2 linked regions of the Callithrix jacchus genome follow. The protein of the gene in region 2 interacts with the protein of the main gene of each other region in a biochemical or structural test. Links are inferred from orthologs where the notes say so. Each region holds a gene or a part of one and is shown on either strand. Other genes may lie near its edges.

Region 1 (9,160 bases), on a different chromosome or scaffold from region 2:
AAGTAACTAATTGGCAAAACATAGCTGCACTGACCTCACCTGAACTGCCAAGAACCACAGGCCACATCTAGGTCCATCCCAACGTCTGGAGTAATCTTGGCTAAATTCTTCCACATCTCAAGTTTCTAATGTTTTCATGGAGTGGGTTAACACTGCTGTTTCCTAGTGGGACTATTACACTAAATTAGTAAACATGTGAGCCTATGGTAACAGAAGTTATACAGTTATGAACAAGTTTCTGTACATTTATTTCATAATTAAAATACTGTCTTAGACAAAGCTTTATTGCGCTTTTCTTCTGTGTGTCCATATTTTCATATTAGCATGAAAACAAAACTAGGTTCTTCAATTCATTTCTCTTATTTAGGTACGCATTATCTGATGACAAGTTTGTATTTTTTTTTAAATGTAACTGTGCCTAGCAGAAAATCTACTTGTGAGTAGACATTTAAAAGATGGGTGTACGACTGAATTACTGAGCAGAAAATTACCCCTTACTTATTTTCTATACAATTTCCTTACAACCAATCTTTTTGGTTATATATCTTTCAGGCTATATGATAAATATAATATAAACAGGTAAATGATAATCACTGGTTATAAGAGTTTCTAAAATATGCTGTTTTCATGCATGTATCAAGACACTCTTTGGAAACTGGTAATAGCAAAGAACTTTTCTACTACTAGTTTCCAGTTAAAAACTGGGCTGTTTCTAGCTACAGCTTTAACCCTAGATTATTAGTGATGCTAACACTTGATTCCAAATAGTCTTCTTTTCCCCAAATAAAAAAAACTTAGATAAAAACAGGTTTTAATTTATATTTCATCACACAGAGAAATTACAAGTTCCAATTTCTTAAGGGTTTTCTTTCAATGTGGAAATTTACCTTAGAGCAAGAGAAAAATAAAAACAATACGTGGTATGCTCACATTTTTGAGAAGTAATGCTAAAAAGTTTTTTAAGAAAGACATGCATACCTATAGAGCAATTGTCATGTGTAAGATTAAAAGATGGAATCACAATTTTATACTGTGTTACAAGCCACAAATATCTCATTTGTTGTCCAGACTTCCCTTTTTGGAAGTTGAAAAATACTTTCAATTGGATACCAATCTGAAAATGAAAACAAAAATAACTTTTTAAGACAGTTAAGTCCTCCTTGTTTGATTATGCACCACGCTGTGGTAATAAAGTGATTCATGGGACCTATGTTCATATTAAAAAAACAAAAAACTTTAAATTATGTTTTCGGTTCTGTGACCTCAAAATACCAACCACTAGATTTACTTTAGAATATATCACAAACTAGAAAGTATATATACTTTGGGCTGGGCACAGTGACTCATGCCCATAATCCCAGCACTTTGGGAGGCTAGGGTGGTCAGATCACTTGAGGCCAGGAGTTTGAGACCAGCCTGGCCAACATGGTGAAAACTCTGTCTCTACTAGAAATACAAAAATTAGCTGGGCATGGTAGTGTGTGTCTGTAATCCCAGCTACCTGGGAGATTGAGGCAGGAGGATTGCTTGAACCGGGAGGCGGAGATTAGAGTGAGCCGAGATCATGCCACCGCACTCCAGTCTGGGCAACACAGTGAGGCTGTGTCTCAAAAAGAAAGAAAGAAAGTATACATAATTTCTAGTATATATTCCATGTATACTCAGACCTCTTCAATCAGATTCTGAGGGTGAACCTTGGCATTTGCATTTATTAACATGAATTTAAGATTTTCCGAAATATACCAACCCTGCATACAAATGATGACAAAAAAGCTGGATAAACATCAAATAATTTACCTTAATCTAATACCTCTATCAAAAAACATAGTTGCCTTCAATTTTTGTTTGTTTGTTTTTTAATATACAAATCACTATTACCTAACAGTTTACCTCCACCTGCCTAACAAGACATAGTCATTATTGCCAAAACAATCTTAAGTACTGGTCCAGCATATCTCTCATCATAAAAAAGCCACCAAAGATCCAAACTCAGACCAGATGTCCAGACTTCAACATAATAGCAATTTTTCCCAAGGACAAAGCCAAAAATCGATCCTGACCTAAATGGGAATTCCTAGCACTAAGATCCATCCTTATAAGCCCTTTCTGGGGATATGCATTTTAAGTGGATTGTAGAAGTATGTTCCCTGAACAGGTTAACATAGGATATTCATCAAAAGAATCAATTATCAACAGGTAGAGAGTGAGCAGGGCCCAACAAAAATAGGTCATACCAGTAGCAACTTTGGACAGAAAACAGATGAGTGTTGAAGGTCAGAGGGACAAGATATAAACTACATTCACTTTCTTTACAAATGTATCAGTCAGTAGGTGGAACCACTAACAAGATTTTAACTAAAAGATATGCAGTCCTAAATTACTGAAACTGTTTTTTGTTAAGCTCCCACACCTCTCTACATATACAGGGATACATGAGAAAGCGTTAAGTGAGAAAAATTCCATTAAAAGAGGATGAACGTGTAACAAAATCCAATACCAGGCTTGAAAAATCTTGCAATCATAAATTCTGTGGATAATGAAATACTCTGCATCGTCACACCCAGACCAATAAGAGCATTATATATGCATATTTTTTGTACTCAGAAGGATGAAGTATGTAACTGTCTACTGTACCACGTCGTTTGAAAACACTAGAAAATTCTACAATTCTTCAAGTTTTCAAATAAATACCCTGTCCATCTTAAACTTGAAATGCACTTCAAATTGCTAACATCGAATTTATTGTTGACTGTAGATGTTGTCACTTCTATTTTCCTTGTAAAAGGATGCTAAATAAGGTTCCAAAGAATGATTGCTACGTTAACCAAAATTATGCACTGCCAAGCTGTCTCCAGCATCAACTCTGAAAGACAGATAGGAAAGAATCAAAAATACAGTTTCCTACATGAAAGTCGAAGCATTGCTTCTTTCTTTGTTCTCTTCTGTGGGATTTTTCCATTGTCCTCCCAAATGTGACAATTTGCAAATACCCATATCTAGAAGCATATTCTATGAGAGAAAAGACCCCAGTTTTGAAACTCGAAAAAGTGCTTTAATAATTGTAAGCAAAGGTTCAGCAAATCAGCTAGCACTAATCTTGACCAAATGGGTGAGTCAGCCTTGTCACAGAGATATTTAACATTTAAAATCCTACAAACATGGTAACTCCAAGCATTCTACCAAGAACAAAGAATAAACCCTTGAATAATCACTTGTAAGGACTAACAACTTGTATTTAACATATTTTACACTGAAGTACTAGATGGTCTCTATAGTTCCTTTTAGCTCAAACCTTCCTTAATTTTTCGAGTAACTTCACCAGACTATTCTTTGAGTCTTAGTAATTACAAATAGGACCTGAATGAGAAAGAAAATTCAGAATTAAAGTTCTTATCAGTAAGCCTAATTAAACAGTACAGACAGAAAGATGGCAGTAGAATAAAGCATTCTACATTAGGAGAAGGGAGAATATAATCAGTAGTTCGCAGCCCCATCAATGAAGCGCAGCATACAACAAAGTCTGGCTGGGATTTGGGATATAATGGACAATATCTGTCTGCCCTTGGGTGGCAACTAACATACCTATACAGTGATAGACAGTGGAGCCTTTGAAAGCGATACTCCACCTGAAGTAACCAACCACCCTCAGGAAAACATGTCAAACCAGAGAGTGAATCCTCTAATTTTAGTGAGTTGTTTCCCTTACTGGCAGTTTTCCTACTTTCTATCTTAAAAGGAAATCCACACACTCAGCGCCGCAAAATGGTAAAACATCTCACCCCTATATTGTGACTCTGGCACCTGTGGTCAGAACAAAAGCTATCGTTTTAACTAGGGTAGGATTTATGCTCCCGGTTCAGTAAAGGGCAGTGGCTACCGGCAGGGTGCAGGCAGGCTCCCTGCGTTGACTCTCGCTTCCTGTCACACTGTGGTTATCACCGTGACGGACCCTTGACATTAACAAGTCTTCGACTGAATAACTGATGGGACCTGCAGCCGGTGAGGGGGAAGCATGGTGGCCCTGCGGAGTGCCTTGGCGGGGCCAGGAGGATGGCACTGCGGTCAGGCATCTCTGAGGCCCCGAGTCGGGTGAGCGAGCCTTTCTTGAAGTTTCCCTTCCTTCCACAACAAGCCTCCCACCCTCTCCCCCACCCCCGCCCTGGTAGGAAAAGTCACACCGGCAGCTCACTGAAGGGCAGTGGGACAGCTCCGGGCGCCCCACAAAAGTTGGGTTGGGCAGCGGCCACAGCTTAACGCTCCTGCAGGAGTCGGGCCGACACCGCTTCCTCCCGGGGCAAACCTGAACTGCCAACTTTCCCGATGCCCACTCCTCTGCGCGCAGCAGCCCAAACTTTGAGGTTCGCCCACCGGCCGCACCCCGGGCTTGCGGCGGCGGCGCTGACCTTCACGCGAGCCCGGGGCCCAGCAAAGGCCGCCGCCCGCCCCCCCAAGTCCCATTTCCCTGCCTCCCCAAGATCCCATCTCCCTGCCTCCCCCAGCCCTCGTGGTAAGCCGGCGGGGGGAAGATGGCTGCAGCCCGACTCCGCGTGTCACGACTGCCCACGGCCCTCGGGGCTCTAGAGAGCCCGTGTCCAGGTGCCTCGGCCGCCCACTCACCATTGGTGAAGGGCTCCATTTTACCCCCGCCGCGGCTCCTCACAGCCCGAGCGCCCGAGCTTCCTACTCCGAGAGCTGAGGCGGCCCTGCCGACTGAGCATGCCCAGCGCGGCCTCGGAGGGCTGCCGGGGAGGTGCCGCGAGGGGCGTCGCCGCTCCACTGCTCGATGGTTCCGCCGTTCCGGGTTTTCGCGGCGGCTGCAGAAAGAGCTAGGAAGCTAGAGGGAAAAGCACAGTCCGACCCCCGGAGGCTCCGCGGAAGGGCCAGGAAGGAGCGGGGTTCGCGTTGGGGGCGGGGCCTGGGGCGGGACCCGGAAAGTCCCGCCCCTACCTGAAGCGGCCCTGGCTGCGGCGCCCTCCCGGGAGGGGAACCAAGTTCAGTCACTCAACAAATGCGGGGCCCTACTGCGACCCGCCCGATCCTGGACTCCGAGCCACGTGCACTGCGCCGGAAAAACAGGGTCCCAGTCCCAGGAACGGTCATTCCAGAAACAGATCATAAATAAACACAGAAGACACACCAGTGTAAAGTCAATGCCCTGCTGCGCATTAAATCGAGTGATGTGATGCCCAGTGAGTGGGTAGCTAATTCGGATGGCGTGGTGAGGAGATGCCTCGCTGAGCAGGTGCCACTGAAGCCGAGGTCTGAAGGCAGAGCAGGAACCTGCGGGCGAAGGTCGCTATCCAAACTGCGAATCGCCGGTTTCCTTGGGGAGATTAGCCGCGGAGGGATCACTTCTCCAAGGACGGAGGGAGCGGGCGCTGTAGATATTTTCTGCAGAGATGTCCGCCCGCAACCGACTGTCCCTTGCGGGTGGTGGGGAGGAGACGGAAGAGAAGGCGGGGACCCTGCTGGGCCGAGGGCGCCCAGGAGTCCAGTCCCCCGACTCGCGGCTGCGGGCGCGGCCTCTAGGTGCGGGCGGATGACAAAACCCGGCGCCGGATCGTCCTGCCAGGGCCGCGGACGCAGCAGGATGTGGGCAGAAGGCCCGCCTGTTCCGAGCCTTAAATCAACACCTGCGGTTCCCGGGGTGACACCGCTGGGGCCCGCAGCGAGGCTCCGCGGTGCTAGGCCCGAGAAACCGAAACTTCCCTAGTCACCTCTGCTCCCTGGCACTCTCGCCATTGCCTCTAGCCCCAAGCCACCATTGTTAACAGTGCCAAATCGGACAGCCCCTGTAACCTCCGGGGCCGAACCGCCAAGGGCCCCGCGAACCCCGAGAAGGCTGGTCGGGGCCCGCTTCCTTTTCCCCCTTTCGGTGTGCGCATAGCCACCACCCTCGCCGCAGAGGCCACCGCCCTCCGAGCACGCCACCACCGCCTCCTCTGCCTCTTCCCATCCCTCAGCCCCGGCCCCTGCAGCGACTTGGCTCGAGCTGCACCTCACTGCGCCTGCCAACTGTCACACGCTCCGAGGCTGTCAACAGGGTGCCAGGGACAAACAAGCCGCGGCGAGCGCAAACAGCCTGAGCAAAGAGGGACGGTCAGGGTGTTGTTTGACCAGCACTAAGTCAAAGTGCAATACTGTATTTTAAACTGTCTATTGTATTACATCCCCCACAATACGCGCCTACTTGAAACTTCCAGCGGATACCAGCTACACTTAGAATAAAAATGAAACTCCTTGCCCAACTCTGGGTCCGCATCAGCACATGCTTACCATGTTTTGGCCACAGAGGCCTTCATGTTGTTCTTGGAAGTCGCCAAGTTCCATCCATCATTGTTAATCATACCTTTTGCACGCTCCTCGCACAACTGTTTCTTCTGCTTAGTGCTTTGCCTACTGATTCCATCTTGTCATTTATGTCTCGGCTCAAATGTCACCTCTGCAAAGAACCCTTCTCTGACTATACATGTAAAATAGCCACAAACACGGTCTGCACTATAAAGCCTTGGCTTTGCTTTATTTCCTTCTCAGCACTCACACTGTCTGAAACAATGTTTTGAATTTGTTGTTTATTATCAGCCTCCCTCTCAAGAATGCAAGCTCTGTGAGAGCAGAGTCTTTATCTTTTTTAAGGCTGTATCACCAACGCCTGGGTAAGTATACAGTAAATAATTTTTGCATGAATAAGTGAATGGACGTAGTGGTGTTGAGAGTTTTTAAGTTCACTTCCACTGCTGCAAACCCTTTCAGTTAATGACTCCATACTGAATGATGTGTTTGATCAGTACAGAAAAGGTGTCTGTATCATATGATACCTCAGAGCTGCTATCTCCCTAATGTGTAAGGTAATCAGAGCCCTTAGACTGGCCCCTTGTACTGGCATTTCAGAACCAAAAATAGTGAACCATAGGGGCTGATATATCCCAGTTCAGAAATTATATAGTATATGCAGGGCTAGATTTTGTTAACATACTTCACACATTGTATTGCTTAAATAACACTCTTCTCTCTATATTTTAGGTCATGTCATGTTCCCTTGGAGTTACTTTTGCAACCAAAGCATTTAGTATAGGAGATATTTAAAACACTGCAGCTTGTTAAATTGCCTCACCTCACCTCACCTGTAAAGGGTCGTATCATGCTTTTGAGTGTGAAACATGTTACCTAGTGTTCTGTTTTAAATACCCCAACTCTGCAGACTTTTGTGGTAAAAATGCACTAGCAACTATAGGTGGATCATTATGGTCTTTTTGAAATTTTTTTAACAAAGAGACAAATAATTTCTTTGCCTACCTCTTGTCTCCCACCCCTTCCATTCCTTCACACCCACAAGACATAAAGGACCCTTTACAGACATGTAAAAATACAAAAAAATAAAATTAGCCAGACGTGGTGGTACACACTTATAATCCCAGCTCTTCGGGAGGCTGAGGCATGAGAAGCTGAGGCATGAGAATGGCTTGAACCCCAGAGGAAGAGGTTGCAATGAGCTGAGATAACACCACTGCACTCCAGTCTGGACAACAGAGCAAGACTCCATCTCAAAACAAAACAACAGAAAAAAGACATGGTTTTGTATCGGAAGTAAGAATAGTAAACCAAAACGTCAAAATATTTCAGAATGCTACCTAGGAGCCAAAGAATAATAATAAAGTTTGTTTTGCCTCGTTGGAAACTGCTTTACATTTGACTTCATAGAGCCTAATTTCACAACCAAAACCCATTATGTTTTTATCTTTAACACCTGCCTATCCTCCCACACAGAACTTCCTCTTTAGTTTAAGAATATGACACTTTAAATTATTATGAAGTTACTATTCATTATCAAATGAAATAATGTGACATTGTCTGCTATATCCATCTACTGTCTTCAGAATCATCGTGGTCTACTATTCAACATTTGAAAACCAATAAATTGGAGAGTTAATTATAATACATAATAAATAGCATGACAGGAAAAAATATAAGCACCCTGAAAAAAAATTGCATTTGTTTATAAAGAACTGACAAACTTGATAATCAATGAATATAAGAATATTTTTATCAAAATAAAACACTTGGTGAAACATAGATCAGCAAATCTGAGCCTCACATTTAACAGATGAGGAGGGAACTACTGTCTAGAGAGGGTAGAATATTTACTCACTATCCAGGAGCAGGCATGGACCAGAACTCGGACCATCTGTGTTCTAAATCCATGTGTCAGAGTTTTCTGTTGCCTCCCAATTTCCACAAGCAAATTGGAGTCAATGACAACAATTCAGCAAAGGGATATGGCATAGATGGAAATATAGCTAATTTCAGCTATTAGAAGTTTATTCCATTAATTGTTTAATAAAATATTCCGACTTAATTAGTTGATATATTCCATAGGGAATTTGGATTCAGCCCTACTAAATGATCTAATTATTTTGAAATAAGCAGCAACAGTAATTCAGTGAACACCTTTGAAAATGTTATTTGTTCAGCAGTCTTGAATAAATGGAAGCTGCTTCCTGCCAGGACAAATCTGACCCTCATAAGATTTCCAGCCATCCGAAGGACTGAAGGACTCAATATCTCATTGCCTTTGTAACCCATCTGCAGCACACATACACTGCATTAATTAGTAATGTTTGAAGTTAAATCAAGAAAAGTTTAGAGCACAGAATAATAATTATCTAATAAAGTTCTTGTAGAGCTTAGGCATTAGCCAAAAGACACAGGCAAAAAAAAATGAAAGGTTATTATTTGGAAAGAACAGTGATATACTAGTTGATTCTTTGGGCTACCAAAGACAAAACTCTGAGTAAAACTAGCTTAAACATTTATCATTTCACATAACAAGTCCAGAGATAAGACAATCTTCAGTTATAGCTCACCAACTTCATCAAGAGCCCAACTTACCTCTCCCCACTCTTCAGTCCTCTATTTGAGCAATTTCCCAAAGCCTAGACTACCATATGGTCAAAAGTTGGCTGCAGCAGGGGAGGAAGAAGGAACTTACTCTTCTGTGTGTCTTTCTTGAGAGCAGGGGAGGCTTTTCTCAGAAATTCCCCACTAGAATTCTCCTTAGGTCTGATTTACTAAAACTGTACTTTGCAATTTGTACACCAGTCACAGGAAATGAAAATGACGTCACAATTGAGACACAGTAGGAAGGGGGCTTGGCTTCACC
Region 2 (9,099 bases):
AATTGACAAATCTTTAGCAGACTAAGAAAAAGAGATTCAAATAAATAAAATCAGCAGTAAAAAATGAGTCATTAAAATTAATACCACAAAAATTCTCATATACCCAATAAATATATACACCTGCAATGTACCCAAAAAATTAAAAATTCAAAGAATTTTTAAAATTAAAAATAGATATTTTGTTGCTAAAAAATGCTAACAGTCATCTGAACCTTCAGCAACTCGTCATCTTTTCGCTGCTGGAGGGTCTTGCCTCAATGACACTGAGGGCTGCTGACTGAATGGTTGCTGAAGGTTGGGGTGGCTATGGCAATTTCTTAAAAGAAAATAAAATGAAGTTTCTCACATCAATTGACTGTTCATTTCACAAAAGATTTCTCTGTAGCATGCAATGCTGTTTGATAGCATTTTACCCACAGAACTTGCAAAATTAGAATCTATTGTGTGTTGAAACTTAATGCAAAACAAACAAACAAAAAAATAGAGCCCACGCTCTCAAGGTCTGCTGCTGCTTTATCACCTATGTTATGTAACATTCTAAATTCTTTGTTGTCATTTCAACAATTTTTACAGCATCTTCACCAGGAGTAGATTCCATGTGAAAAAAAAATTTTTTTTTCTTTCCTCCGTAAGAAGTAACTCATCCATTCAACTTGGTTTTTCTGTTTGTTTGTTTGTTTGTTTGTTTGTTTGTTTTCAGAGACTGGGTCTCTGTCACCCAGGCTGTAGTGGAATGCAGTGACATGATCACAACTCACCTAGGTTTAAACAATTTGCTCAAATTCCTAGGTTTAAGCAATCCTCTCATCTCAGCCTCCCAAGTAGCTAGGACTATAGGTGCACTATAGCTAGGACTATAGGTGCACTCCACCACATCCAGCTAATTTTTTTAATTGTATCTTTTGTACAGATGTATTCTCATTATGTTGACCAGGCTGGTCTCAAACTCCTGGCCTCAAGAAATCCTCCTGCCTCAGCCTCCCAAAGTGCTGGGATTACAGGATTGAGCCACCATACCAGCCTTCATTCAAGTTGTATTATAAAATTGCAACAATTCAGTCACATTTTCAGACTCCCCTCTAGTTCTCTTGCTATTTCCACCACATATGCAATTACTTCTTCCAGTGAAATCCTGAATCTGTCAAAGTCATCCATGAGGGATGGAATCAGCTTCTTCTAAATTCCTATTAATGTTGATATTTTGACCTCCTCCCATGAATCTTAATGGCATCCAGAATGGTGAATCCTTCCAGAAGGTTGTCAATTTACTTCACCCAAGTCCATCAGAAGAATCACTATCTATGGCAGCTGTACCCTTATGTAATGTATTTCTTAAATAATAAGACTTGAAAGTTGACAGTACTCCTTGATTCATGAACCATCTACTCCTTGATCCATCTCTAGAATGGATGTCGTGTTTGTAGGCATGAAAACAACATTGATTTCTTTGTACATCTCCACCAGAGCTCTTGAGAAACCAGGCACAATGTCAATGAGCAGTAGTATTTTGAAAGTCACCTTTTTTGCTGATAAATGGGTCTCAACAGTAGGCTTAAAATATTCAGTAAGTCATGCTATAAACAGATGTGCCATAATCCAAACTTTGTTATTCCATTTATAGAACACAGAATAGATTTATCATAATTCTTAAGGGCCCTAGGCTTTTCAGAATGGTAAATAAGCATTGGCTTCAACTTGAAGTCACCAGCTGCATTAGCCCCTAATAGGAAAGTCAGTCTTTCCTTTGAAGCCAGACACTGATTTCTCCTCTGTAGGTGTGAAAGTTCTAGATGGCAGCATCTTCTTCCAATAGAAGACTTTCATCTATAATGATAATGTATTGTTTAGTGTAGCCACCTTCATCAATTATCTCAGCTAGATCTTCTTGGCAACCTTTTTGGCACCAGGGACAGGTTTTTGTGGAGGATGATTTTTCCATGGACCAGGGGTGGGGGTGGAGGGGCGTGGGGGTGGAGAATGATTTTGGGATGAAACTGTGCCACTTCAGATCATCAGGCATTAGAGTCTCATCCTAGATCCCTCACATGTGCAGTTCACAGTAGGGTTTGCTCTCCTGTGAAAATCTAATGCTGCTGCTGATCTGACAGGAGGAGGAGCTCAAGCAGTAATGCTCACTACCGGCCTATTCCCACTCCATCCCCTCCATCCACCCCCCACCCCACCACTCCCCACCTTCTCTGCTCACCTCCAGCTCTGTGGCCTTGTTCCTTACAGGCCAGGGACCAGTACCTCCCGAGGGCTGAGGTTGGTGACCCATGTTCTGGATAACTTGCTGCAGCTCCTACATCAGCATTTGCTGCTTCACTTTACACTTCTACATTATAAAGACAGCTTCTTTCCTTAAACTTCATGAACCAATCTCTGCCAGCTTCTAACATGCCTCTAGCAACTTCATCTCTCAGCCTTCACAAAATTGAAGAGAGTCAGGGCTTTACTCTGGATTCTGCTTTGGCTTAAGGGAATGTTGTGGCTGGTTTTATCTTCTATCCAGACCACTCAAACGTTCTTCATATCGGCAGTAAGGCTGTTTCACTTTCTTATCCTTTGTGTGTTCACTGGAATAGCACTTTTAATTTTCTTTAAAAAATTTTTTCCTTTGCATTCACAACTTGGCTGTTTGGTGCAAGGGGGCCTATCTCAGCTTTCAACATGCCTTCTGCACTAAGCTGAATAATTTCTAGCTTTTGATTTAAAGTGAGAGATATGCAACTTTCCCTTTCACTTGAATACCTAGAAGCCATTGTAGAGTTATTACCTGACCTAATTTCAATATTGTTGTGTTTCAGGGAACAGAAGACCAAAGGAGAGGGAGATGGCAGAATAGCCTGTCGGTGGGGCAGTCAGAGCACACACAACATTGACTGATTGATTGCTGTCTTCTATGGGTGTGGTTTGGGGTGCCCCAGAACAATTGCAATAGTGTTTTCAAAGATCACTGATCATAGATCACCATAGCAGATTTATGGAAAGAAAAATGATAAATGCAATCATATTGGTAGTGTTCTAGTCCTTAGGTGCGTTCGTGCATATTCACTTTATTGATATCTACCATAACTTCAATTCCATATTTATAAAAATGCTCAAAAAAGTGTACATCCTCTTTTAGCACTGTAGTGAGTCAACACTCCCCAACAAAAACTGGATTTCCTGAAAAACAGGTTAAGGCGGGGGGGGGGGGGGGGCGGTATGTTTTTCAGAATGCCAAAGGTCAACCTGTATCATCTTCTGTAAGTAAAATGTATGTATATGCATAGTTTCCGTTTTTTAAGACAAGGGAGTGTAATGGGGAATCAGCGTATAAAACTACCCCACTACCTTAATCATGAAAATCAATTACGTGCTTTTCTTTGATTTGTTGGCCAAAGAAAAAAATTACAACTCAGAAAACTTTCTTGGAGATGCATATGCCCAGTGTATCCAAACTTCAGGCTTGTCGGGTACAATACTGATTTACATAAAGTTCCTCTAATCAAACCTGAGCTAATAACTTACTAAGGAAAGAGTAATTGATCAGAGCCATCCCCCCAACTGGAGTCAACTTTCATATATGTTCTGATTTCCTTTATTTTGGGGGCAATTCATCCAAACTTCTAATTAAATGGCAACTCGTTCACTTTTGAGAAATGTTTCACAAGAAACAACAACAACAAAGCAGTTGAGGAGGAAAGAAAAGAGACACAGTAAAGAAAAAAAAATGGATGTAGAAGCTGAAAATACGTACAATTTACTTCCAAAAGAATATGCAAGATGGAGCAAAACTTTCAAGGGCTCTTTTTCAGTATAATGGTAGTGAGGAAGTTCAGCTTGAAAAGCCCAGGGCTTAAAAAAATAAACAATATGCAGGACCGTTCAGCTTCAGCAGAACCCACCGCAAAGATGGCGATGGGACGAAGCCCCTTCTGCGAAGCCCGTCACTACATATTTCCCACAAACCCTTCCGCGCAGCCCAGCTCGCGGAAACCTGCACGGCCGATTCCCGGTTACTGCGCACGCGCGGGACAACGTCACGTGCTCTCCCAGGGCTCGGCGGAGCTGGCAGGAGGGACCTTGCCACCTTCCGCGGCCGCGTCGCTTCAGGGCTCGGCCGGCGGATTCGCGCTGCCTCCGCAGCTGCAGGGCAGCTGGGGGAAGGGAGCCGAGCTAAGGGCGCGCGTCGGCGCGGCCATGGGACTGCGCCGGATCCGGTGACAGCAGGGAGCCAACCGGCCCGGGCCCTGAGCGCCTCTCCTCCGGGGGGCCTCGCCCTCCTGCTCGTGGGGCCGGGGCTCCTACTGCCCTTGCTGGCGCTGCTGCTGGCGGCGGCGGCGGCCAGGATCATGTCGGGCCGCCGCTGCGCGGGCGGGGGAGCGGCCTGCGCGAGTGCGGCGGCCGAGGCAATGGAGCCGGCTGCCCGAGAGCTATTCGAGGCGTGCCGCAATGGGGATGTGGAGCGAGTCAAGAGGCTGGTGACGCCGGAGAAGGTGAACAGCCGCGACACGGCGGGCAGGAAATCCACCCCACTGCACTTCGCCGCAGGTAACCCGGGCCAGCGCCCCCTCGCCTCGCTCTAGACCCCACCTGCGCATCCGGGGCTCGTAGGCCTGAAACCAGTGCTCCTCCACTCCTCGACCTGTCCCCTAAGGACTGTGGTCCTGGTGATCTCCCTCTCTTCCAGTGGGGACTGGGGAGATTGGGGGGTTGGGTGAGCGTGCCACACTCACTGGAAGTTTTTGGTTTGTTTTATTTTGTTTTTGCCGAGGGTGGAGGGTGGTTTGGGGTTTTGGCTTTGTTTTGTTGCTACAATACCTGTACCAACTTCCGGTCTTGTTACCCTAGAAGGCGTCTACACACAAGAAAGAGTAGGGGACTTTAGTAAATAGACCTATGATTTAAACGATCAGTTACCTCCAAAATTTTTCATTCTGGCAAGTTCCATTTGGATTAAGGTCTTGAAGGACTTTGTAAAATGCAAGGATGTAATTTCGGAGGAGTAGTTTAATAGGCCATTGACACATTAGCGTTAATTGATTTATCAGAATAGCCAATCAGCAAGTTTCTGGAGTGACTACAACTGGAAATAGGCAAGTTTGGGAGAACTGAAATCTGACTAGGCTGGGTGCGGGAAGTCTTTGACACACACACACAAGTTGAGGTGGAAAGTAGTAGTATAGTAGAAAAGATGGTGCAAGTACTTTAGCTTGGATCTAGAATATAAGCTGAAACTAACCTTGCTTCATTTTGAGAATTAGATCGTTTGAATTACTTTCTTTTAATATTTATTAGGTTCACTTTATGATGTAAGCATATTAAATTTAGTCGAAGAATTTAAAAGAACCAGAGATGGGATAGTCAGCTTATTCCCATAAAGCATACATATTTTTCACTTGTAGAAAAGATCATGACAGTTTCTAACTTCAGGTGAGCCATGTGTGATTGAAAATCGGAGTACCTCCTCTTACCTCCGACCATCCTGGTTTTTTGTTTTGTGTATTTCATGATTGTTAAAAACAATTTTTTTGAAAAAGCAGGGAATACCTTTTAAAGTGTTTCTGTTCTTTTGGGGCTAGATTGATGAAGAGAAAAGGAGCAGTGAGGAAGATTTCCTCTTTCACAAACATTACTTTTACACTTTCTACCAATTGGAGTTTTGTTCGGTTTACCCTGTTCCGGGTTTTAAATGTAAACACTACCAGGAGGTATGCTTTTTTGATCAATTGCATCTTTATTGGAATTTCTACTGGGGAGTCTTTTTAAGAAAAGAAAGTCTAGGGAACCTAGTCGGAGAACTAGAAACAGTTTCTGGGCAATAGAAAGAGAAGGAAGAATACTTAAGTCAAATCACACCTAGTTAGCCGAAATTTTACCCAAAATCTTGATGGTAAGTGCTGCTGTTCTTCAGCCAATTCAGATTGTCCTGTTTGACCATGTAGTTAGTCAACATTTAAACAACTGATTTGGCAAACTATCACCACCAACTGATACATAAGCCAAAGGGTAGGGTTACTTAAAGTCTGTTCATTTGATCTGTGGGATAAAAATAGCCAAGAAAGATCTTAGTTGCTACCTTTCAAGAATTTGGTATATTAATGAGTTCATATCTGAAAATAGTAATATTTAGAGGTGTAAGGTTATGGGTATTAGCTCAGTGACCTTGTTCCTTCTCTAACTTCCTACCCTCAGTTCTGTTCCAACATTTCAGAGCATTTTTTTACATAGATTTCATTTTGTTTGTTCAAGTTGAAATGGAAGACTTAATATTTTGGAAACCACCCACCCCTCACAACTTACCCAAATTATCAGGTGTAGGTTATAAGATTAATAGTTACAGGTATGAAAGGGGAATAATAAAAATTAACAGGGGTGGGGGGCGGGGAATCTTCATTCAACCAGAACTTGTAAAGTCCTGTACTTAAATCCAGGCATATAAGAAACTTTTTAAAAAATTGTCTTTGTAAATTTAATCTAAATTTTAGGTTTATCAGAGAGAAGTTTTTTAAGTGCATCCAACTAACTTTTCACTCAATATGTGGAGAATACACTGTGTAATCTCTTGTAGGTAGGTAGTGAGTTATCTGTCATCTTAATGTGCCTGCAAGCATGCTGTTGGAAGTTCAACATAGGTGGTAGTATTATATAACTGCCTGACCAAGCAGTTTCCTGTGTTTGTACATCAATCATAGGGTGAGCTATTGGAGAGGCTGGGGGACATTATTATTTTAAAAAATTTTTTAGCTGATTAAAGTTTGGAGGTTTTATTGGGGGAAGGCATGTTTTTGTCGTTTTGTTTTGATTCCCAAGTAATATTAGGACTGAGAGGTGCACACAGACCACAAAAAATGAAAATCAGTTTAGAAAAAATTTGGTTTAATTTCATCCTCAAAAAAGTTAGTTCAATTAGAAAAATAATCAGTTGCCAGCACCAAGACAATTAAGTTCTGTTAATGAAAAAGATAGTCAACATGAACAGAAATTTTCTACTCCTAGGTGTTTTTTTTTTATTATTGAACTAGATTGCATGCTTTTCTTCTAGATAAATATTAAAGAAGTAATTTCTTAGGAGAAAAATGACTGAAAATTGTTTCCTTTTCAGTCTGCCTGCCACTTGCCCCCCACCATACACAGACATACATACACAAGATAGGAATGATTTTTTGGCAGCACATAATAGAACTTGTAGAGGCAAGTTGGTGGTAGTAGGGTAGGTGTTGTTCTAATTTTACTAAAAGCAAAAGTATCTGGGATTCTTAACAAGTTAATGCCCTAGAAAACAGCAAATTTCAGTAAAGAAGACTGCTTCTCTGAACTTACTTCTAAAAAGTAAAGAAGTGACACAAACTTGGGGAGAAAGTCATCTTTATGCCCATCATAGAAATGAAAAAAATATGTGGCATTCCTTACAATCTTAGAACTCTTGGAGCAGGATAGGAGCTTGCATTGTAGAGTCCTACTAAACAAGGTAACACTTGTTTTATATTTATAGTATGTTATGTTACTGTTAGTATGAGTATGCTACTGAACCATATACATTGGACCAGTTAGACCGAACTTGGATTATTATATTCAAGTCTGTGAATCAAGTATAAGGGATTTTTTTTTTTTATCCAGAGGAGGAAAGTAGAATCAGAGCATCTGAAATTTATTGCACAAGCATAGATAGGAAAATTTGTGCTGCTTATTCTAGAGATGGAAGAAGACTACACCATGTTACTGTCTTCACATGTGGAAGAATCACAAAGAGTACGTAGATATTACTTGTCAAAACTAAGGCCAATAGGTGAAAGGTTAGAAGGGGTCAGACAGCCTTTAACAATATTCAGCCATTGAACTGGCTGAAGTATCCAAGCAGTGGCTCTATTGGCTTTTTTCAGAGATGTTGTACAGAGGATTTCAGCCTAGTTCAGCGAACAGGTTGGTACAAGAAAGTGGGAAGATTTCCCTCCAATTGAAGGTTTTAGCTGCTCAACTACCAAAGATATACTATTTTTTGTGATTGCCATTCATATCCTTTCCCAAAATGATAACTATTGGAGACCTCCAATAACCTTTCTTTGGCTGTAGGTCAACATCATAGTTGTAAGAGATGCACAAAATTTACTCAACCTAGAACTACAATTATAGATTGTTGTTTTCAGGATTGGTTTTTGCTATGGAATGTAATTAAATCATATATGTATCAGCAGGAAACCCTAGTATCAAATAAAGATTAGTCTGTTTAGGAATTCATAATCTTTCTTTACTTATCAAATCTCCCAATCTATTTTAAGATTTTGAGGTATACCTTTTCCCTCAGCTCTTGCTGAATTTAGAGGTAGACAGTTGGCTTCAGTAACAAGAGTTTGGAATACTCCTTTCAGTATTCTCCGGACAGTATATCTATCCCAAGTAGAGATGGGCAAAACCCTCTCCTTTGTATTCTTCATTCTTAAGAAACATATGTGGGAAATAATTTTGCTGGATCTTAGGAAACTAAAGTTAATAGTAAATGAGGCCCAGGCACGGTGCCACACACTATAATTCTAGGACTCTGGGAGGCAAAGGCAGGAGTATCACCTGAACTCAAAAGTTCAAGACCAGCCTGGGCAACATGGTGAAACCTCATCTCTACAAAAGAAAGAAAGAAAAAGAAAGAAAAATGAATGAGCTGGGCATGGTGGCACAGGCCTGACACTCTGGGAGGCAGAGGCAGGAGTATCACTTGAACTCAAGAATTCAAGAGCAGCCTGGGCCACATGGTGAAACTTTGTCTCTACAAAAAAAAAAATAGAAAAATTAGCCAGGCATGGTCTATAGTCCTAGCTACTTGGGAGGCTACAGATGGAGGATTACTTGAGCCAGGGAGATCAAGGCTGCAGTGAGCCGAGATTGTGCCATTGCACTCTAACCTGGGCAACAGAGGGAAACCTTGTAATATAAAATAGTAAATGAGAAGTTTAAAATGAAATTCCTCAGAAAAAATCTGTCACTAAGCATCCTGGCTAAAGGTTGCTTTAAAGCTGTTTGATTATACCTTCCAGCCTCCCAGACCACAGGAGCTTTCTTTTGTGGCATTTGTTGACATTTTTCCAGAACTTTGCCTTTGGACAAAACCCTGTGTGATAG

Evidence for each region.
Region 1: the proteins of TNKS2 (region 2) and LNPEP form a complex in vitro, tested with the Homo sapiens proteins (4 studies listed by BioGRID and IntAct, with this or other methods). The link is inferred for Callithrix jacchus from reciprocal best matches to the Homo sapiens genes TNKS2 and LNPEP.

The regions. Positions count from the first base shown.
Region 1 is NC_133503.1:113,667,195-113,676,354, forward strand, and holds the start of LNPEP (leucyl-cystinyl aminopeptidase), read right to left. Parts: upstream 5,447-9,160; 5' UTR 4,637-5,446; coding exon 4,618-4,636; intron 4,090-4,617; exon of another isoform or gene 3,924-4,089; intron 1-3,923. UniProt on the Homo sapiens protein: Release of an N-terminal amino acid, cleaves before cysteine, leucine as well as other amino acids. Degrades peptide hormones such as oxytocin, vasopressin and angiotensin III, and plays a role in maintaining homeostasis during pregnancy.
Region 2 is NC_133513.1:84,571,115-84,580,213, forward strand, and holds the start of TNKS2 (poly [ADP-ribose] polymerase tankyrase-2), read left to right. Parts: upstream 1-4,029; 5' UTR 4,030-4,337; coding exon 4,338-4,536; intron 4,537-9,099. UniProt on the Homo sapiens protein: Poly-ADP-ribosyltransferase involved in various processes such as Wnt signaling pathway, telomere length and vesicle trafficking.